Rattus norvegicus: one gene and its partner. The protein of the gene in region 1 interacts with the protein of each later gene in a pairwise test. Links are inferred from orthologs where the notes say so. Each region holds a gene or a part of one and is shown in the gene's direction. Other genes may lie near its edges.

Region 1 (2,808 bases):
GGCACGATGTGGGTGGGCTGCAGGATGTGAAGAAGGAGATCCTGGAGACCATCCAACTGCCTCTGGAACACCCTGAGCTGCTAAGCCTGGGCCTAAGACGATCAGGCCTTCTGCTCCATGGGCCCCCAGGCACTGGCAAGACCCTGCTGGCCAAGGCGGTAGCCACTGAGTGCAGCCTCACCTTTCTCAGGTTGGCAGGGCTCCTACAGAAGGTGGGAGGCTGGGAGCTCTAGCAGGTGTAGGGGGAGGGGAGCTGTAGTAGGTGTGTGTGGGGGAGGGGAGCTGTAATAGGTATGGAGGGGGGCTGTAACAGTGAGGGGGGTTGCAGCAGGTGGAGGGAAGGGAAGATGTAGTGGGTGGGGGGTGTAACAGGTAGGGGTGGGGGGAGCTGTGGCAAGTGGGGAGGGGGAGGACAATGGTCTTGTGCATGTCTGATGGGTCTCACTTGCTCATTCTTCTGCTCAGTGTAAAGGGGCCAGAACTCATCAACATGTATGTGGGCCAAAGTGAGGAGAATGTTCGGGAAGGTGAGTAAGCAGGGAGAGGCAGCCTCGGGCCCTTCCCCAACTCCAGCAGCCTTGTGCCTCCATCTTCCCCAGCTGCTGCTCACAGTCGCCCCAGCTGGGCAACTGTCTGGGTGGAATGGAAGTCAGGCCCACTTGCCATCCTCCTCCCCTGACTTCAAGCCTCTTTCTCAGTGTTTGCCAGGGCCAGGGCTGCTGCCCCGTGCATCATCTTCTTTGATGAACTGGACTCCTTAGCTCCGAGCCGTGGACGGAGTGGAGACTCTGGAGGTGTGATGGACAGGTCAGGGGTTCGACTGGTAATGGAGTCTGGGATCCCAGAAGGGAGGAACGTGAGATTAGTCACATCAGTGTCCAGATCAGGTCTCTAAGATAGGAGTTCTGCTCTTCCGGTTCAGAGTTAGAAGGGAGGCCAAAAACACATGGGAGCTTTGAGGAGGCTCACCTGTGTGGGGAGGGACATGGGGCAGGGCTCGGCAAGGCACCTTAGTCTGAAGGCACAGCAAGGACTCTCTGGCCTTTGCCTCCCCCTCCCGTACAGAGTTGTGTCTCAGCTCTTAGCTGAGCTGGACGGGCTTCACAGCACTCAGGATGTGTTTGTGATCGGAGCCACCAACAGACCAGACCTCCTGGATCCTGCCCTTCTGCGGCCTGGCAGGTGGGCATCCTGGACCTTTCTCCTTTTTTTTTTTTTTTTTTTTTTTTTTTTTTTTCCGGAGCTGGGGACCGAACCCAGGGCCTTGCGCTTCCTAGGTAAGCGCTCTACCACTGAGCTAAATCCCCAGCCCCCTGGACCTTTCTCCTTAACCTCTATCCTGTGCTTCCTTCACCTCCCATGTGGCGGCCCTGACACTTCCTGTTTCTATCTCTCTGAAGATTTGACAAGCTGGTGTTTGTAGGAGCAAGTGAGGACCGGGCCTCCCAGCTGCGCGTTCTGAGCGCCATCACACGAAAGTACGCTCTGTCAGAGAGCTGGGGCGGGGCTGTCAGAGCTGGGGCGGGGCTTGGGATGGTTAGGGGGATGTGTGCCAGTCAGTGTGCCTTCTGAGGGTGAGGCCAGCTTTAACATTTCTGGTGTGGGTATGATAGGTTCAAGCTGGAGGCCTCTGTGAGCCTGATGAATGTGCTGGATTGCTGCCCGCCTCAGCTGACCGGCGCAGACCTCTATTCTCTCTGCTCTGACGCCATGATGACCGCCCTCAAACGCAGGGTCCGAGACCTAGAGGAAGGTGAGCCCTTGCCAGCACTAGACGGGAACCAAGAAACTAGGGGAGACAGTCCTGGAATTCCAGAGGAACGGCTGAGCAGGAGGCACCTCCCCAGGTTGCTCTCCTACCTAGGCATAGATTACAGCTGGGGTCAGGGCTCTGGCCTCACTGTTCCTCGCCATCCCTCAGGGCTGGAGCCTCGGAGCTCAGCACTGTTGCTCACCATGGAGGACCTGTTGCAGGCCGCAGCCCGGCTGCAGCCCTCAGTCAGCGAGCAGGAGCTGCTGCGATACAAGCGTATCCAACGCAAGTTTGCTGCCTGCTAGGAGCTTCCTGCCGCCTGCAAAAGCCCACCTGGCTGGAGGTAGCTGCCACCTGCCACCTGAAGGCTGCCTCCCTCCAGGAGATACCCTGAGATCCCTAGTGGGAGGCCCTTGTGCCCAGGAGAAGAGGCAGGGCTGGCAGCTTGGGGGCGTGGCAGCCTGGAATGGGCATTGAGGCCCCAGTTCTCAGACAGAAAATAAAGTCTATACTGCCCCCTGCTGGTCTTGTGAGAGGTTGCGGTGCAAATGCCAAGGTTATGGGAAGAGTAAGGTCTAGGGAAGGTGGGATGAACACCACATTACTTCTGAAAGAAACACAGGGCACAGGATTGGCAAGGGAAGGCTGTATTGTCGACTCCCTGTTTGCCTGCCCCCCACATCTCTGCAATATCTGTGGTAGGCGATGGTCTTAGGGTGGGAGCCGGAGCCAGGCTCAGCCTGTCTTCTTGAGCACGTGGATGAAGTAGCAGGGAACGTAGGCCTGGCCGGGCCTGTAAGGCTTGAAGTCACCCAGGACGCTGTGCTGGCACCTGCCCCCAAAGGCTTCTTGGACCAACTCCGTGAAAGACGCCAAACAGTGTGGGTAGTAAGAGAGCCGAAACTTACTGCAACAGGGCCCCCAGCCAAATAATGAGGGCTGCTGGCCTCAAGTCTCCCCCACCACCACCTCTCCTGCCAAATCATGCCATACCTGAAGCCAGGAGCGCCATCTCTGCCAGCACCTGGCACCTGCACTGTGTAGTCCAGGGTTAC
Region 2 (3,650 bases), on another chromosome or scaffold:
CCAAACCCCTATGCAAACGATGCCTCTTTTTATTTTTAAGCTTTTAGTATTTTCTTTTGAATTGCTTAATGAGTTGTGCAAGGAAGTCATTCTCATTTGGTTTGGATTGACTCTTCAGATCTGATTTGCCTGACTCACCCTGTGATGACGCTCTGTCCCCTGGCCAGGTTCATTTCCCCGTAAGTTGCTGTCACTGCTGATGCTGCTTCGCCGCCTTTGTGGCTCTGCGGTGAGCCACCTTCTCTCCCAGCCCTTTAGAAAGGGCCTCCTGGCTGCCTTGATCCTCTGTCTCTTGGTTCTACGGTTTGATCCAGGTGAGTGAAGGGGTGTGGCGGCAGGGTCTGTGAGAGCCTGGGAGGGCGCCACCTCCTGTGATATTGAGCCTGTCCCACAAAGAACTAGAGTCTACCTCACCTGGGGGGGAGACCAGGCCCAGATCCTAGGAGAGCAGTTGGAGAACATTTCCCTGCTGCTCTGCATGCCGATGGACTCACCTGGGCCCTGCTCCATCCAGGGGTGACTTCTGATCAGAATGCAATGCTAAGAAGCTTTCTCATAGTAAAACCTAAATTAGTTAAGGTCTCCTGGCTCGTGTAATGACCCTGAAATCGTAAGTGAAAGTCTGACATATTTTAGACGATGTGGGGGAAAAAATGTGAAACAGCTAAATGATATTCTGGTTTATAGACTTTTCCCCTGATTGATATGTGTCAGTCCTTTGGGTGATTAATCTCTTCTGCCTCACTGTGGAGTAGAGGTGAGACTCGGGAAAACACCTGTGTAGTGGACACTCAGATATGGGACTCTGGGCCACAGTTAGGTGACTGACTGCCGTTCGAGAAACACAAAAACAAAAGACAAGTCTTACTGTATAGTGCAGAATGGTGTCGAACCTTCTGTCTCTGCCTCCCAGATGCTGGGGTTGCAGGCGTGCACCACCAAGCCAGACTTTCCGAGTCACTCTCTGTGGGTTGTGAAGCAGTCTGTACTTTCTCAAGAATTTAGATGTAGATAGGATTGTGCAACTTTCAAAACCAAGGAGAAATGAGAAGCCTTTAATTTTCTTTCATTGTTGGTTGAGAAATCTAATAACCAGAGTGACTAGACCAGAGCCACACAGTTCGCCTGGTTTTAAACCTTTGACTTTAGGTCCCTGTTTTCCTCACCTCCCCTCTCACTTGTTGGACTCTGAGCAGGAATGTCCTCTCTGGACAGCTCTGTTGGTTATACAAGAAAGCCACCAGCAGCTTCCAGAAACAGGACAGAAATGAGGGGTGAGCAGAGACACCCCTACCGTGGGAAGCACATTCTCAGTGCTGGAAAAACACGTTTGAAAAGGGGAAGTTCAGTTCCTGTGATTTCCCATCTGTCCTTGACTCTCTACTTTGCATAGTTGATAAGAATTTAGTAGAAGTTCCTTATGACTTCCCCTAAACCCTGATCTCCTAAATGGTGACCAAGAAAACCATTCAAACTTGGGTGTGTACTGAGCAGCTCTCCTCAGGAGAGGAGGACCCACATGGGGGGTGGGTGGCGCTGCAAATAGAATTTGGGGAGAAGGTCAGTTACTTTAAAGAAAAATAACAGGTATGGAGGGCTGGGCATGCATGTGGCATACATACATGTAGGAAGGACTGGGTTGCATCTCCAGCCTTAGAGGAATAAACACCTTTCTTCCCACTGCTCCCACTATGCAAGCATGCGTGTGCGCATGTCTATATGTGTTTGTATGCGTTTGTGCATGTGTGTGTATGCATGTGCGCGCGTGTGTGCACTGTTGGCTACTCCACATGGTGATGATAAGGATGACAGTGGCCAGGGATTAAGTTGAGGCCCTCAGCCCTGAGGAGTGACTATTCTGTCACTGAGCTGCAGTCCCAGCCCTTCTGCTGTAGTTTTTGAGTCTCTTCACTTGCCTTGGGGTTGCAGGTATGTGCTACCCCATGCCTGGCTTTCAAGTGAGTATTTAGGATTCGAACTTAGGTCTTCACACTTTTTGGCAAGTACTTTACCGAGCCATCTCCTTAGCCCTAAACACTGCTCCCCCCACTTAGAGGAGCAGGTCTGTGTGTGTCTCATAGCCTTGCCCAGGCTGGCCTCCAGTGCCAGCTGAAGCCCCTGTCCTAGCTCTCTAAGGTGCTAGGGTGTTTAAGAGAGAAATATGTATTCCTTATTTTGGAGGCCAGGGATGAGCTCAGATACCACACTTGCCTGGTATGTACTAAGGCCTGGGTTCAGTTCCCAGCACCACAAAGAACTTGGTGTGGTGGCTCCCACCTGGAGTCCCAGCATTAAGAGGCGAAAGCAGAAGGCCCAACTCTGTCATCCTTGCCCAACCTGGCCAACCTCCCCAAATCAAACTAAAAGTAGAAATATGTATTTTTTAAGTCTGTAATCCAAACAAGGAAACGAAACAAATGGTAGTTTTTTGTTTTTTGTTTTTTGATTTTTTTTTTTAAATTTTCAATGTCGTTAATTCGTGGTAAAATACGTCAAACTGTCCTAAGGCTTCAAACTGAAAGGCACAGAAAGGCAAAAAGTGCAGTGAAATTTTTCCAAATGGCTCTCCCTAGTGGTAGACGTTGCTCCCATGGTTGTTAATTATTTCTTTCAGGAAGTGGAGTTGGGGCTTAACAGACATTTTTTAGACTTAAAAAATATGTATGAGGCTGCATATGTGGATGGGTACCACATGCATGCCTGGTTTTCTTGGAAGCCAGAAGTGTCAGATACCCTGGAACTGGTCGTGAGCCTCTAATGTGGGTGCTAGGAACTGCACCCAGGTCTTTGCAATAGCAGCAAGTGCTCTTAACTACGGAGCCATCGCTCCAGCCCCGAAGAAAAATTTTAACAGAGGCCTAAGCATGGAAAGTTAGGAAAGAGGCATTTGGAAGAAAGCAAGACACACCTGAGACACGCCCGACACCAGAAGCTCGGTGTAGGCTTCTGAGAGTCACCAGCGGTTGTGTAAATGCCAGAATGATTAAGATGTAATAAATCTGGATTTTTTTCTAGAATATTTAAAGTTATTGTAATTCAACTGGAAAAAAAATTTTCAGAGAAAGTGAAATTTCTTGTTGCCGAGGAGGCTGCGAATAGCAGGAAGCCTGGCTGTGTTTTCTAGCTGCCTCGGAGGGGCTGAGGGAAGAACACTCACGATAGTCTCTCCTTTCCCACAGCAGCTCCTTCTTCACTGCCCTTCCTCTACCAGCTGACCCAGCTCTTCCGCCGGATCCAGAAGGCCACGCTTTCTCGGCTCTACCCGCTCACCCTCCGGGACTGAGTGGTCCTACGTGGCTGCCTCTGCTTCTTACAGTCCCCATCTACAGAAGCGGAAAAGCCGAGCCCAGTGGCTGGGTCCCAGATGGCACCATGGCAGTGGGCCCATTCGTTCTAGGAGGAGGAGCCAAGGCGGGAGAGCCATGGCTTGCCTGTGAACCCGCCCTTCCGTATCCCATTGTGGCTGGCCTCAAAAGGAGTGTGTGAACAGTGGTGCCCGAGGCCAGCGCACAGAATTCTGCACAGCTCCTCAAAAAGAAGGGGTTTAGGAGCAGGGACTGGGTCTTGAGACATTGTGGTTTCTTGACAAAGGCAGAGGGTGACCTTCCAGATCGGGCGCTGGAGGAGCTGCGATTCACAAACGCGGTGGA

What was found. The genes of interacting proteins can lie anywhere in the genome.
Region 2: the proteins of Pex6 (region 1) and Pex26 come close enough for resonance energy transfer, tested with the Homo sapiens proteins (2 studies listed by BioGRID). The link is inferred for Rattus norvegicus from reciprocal best matches to the Homo sapiens genes PEX6 and PEX26.

What each region holds. Positions count from the first base shown.
Region 1 is NC_086027.1:21,755,213-21,758,020, reverse strand, and holds the end of Pex6 (peroxisomal ATPase PEX6), read left to right. Parts: coding exon 1-190; intron 191-465; coding exon 466-527; intron 528-698; coding exon 699-807; intron 808-1,065; coding exon 1,066-1,182; intron 1,183-1,400; coding exon 1,401-1,478; intron 1,479-1,613; coding exon 1,614-1,753; coding exon of another isoform or gene 1,754-1,921; coding exon 1,922-2,058; 3' UTR 2,059-2,270; downstream 2,271-2,808. Other genes in the region: Gnmt (glycine N-methyltransferase), read right to left, coding at 2,329-2,808. UniProt on the Homo sapiens protein: Component of the PEX1-PEX6 AAA ATPase complex, a protein dislocase complex that mediates the ATP-dependent extraction of the PEX5 receptor from peroxisomal membranes, an essential step for PEX5 recycling.
Region 2 is NC_086022.1:156,093,346-156,096,995, forward strand, and holds part of Pex26 (peroxisome assembly protein 26), read left to right. Parts: intron 1-167; coding exon 168-314; intron 315-3,179; coding exon 3,180-3,283; 3' UTR 3,284-3,650. UniProt on the Homo sapiens protein: Peroxisomal docking factor that anchors PEX1 and PEX6 to peroxisome membranes. PEX26 is therefore required for the formation of the PEX1-PEX6 AAA ATPase complex, a complex that mediates the extraction of the PEX5 receptor from peroxisomal membrane.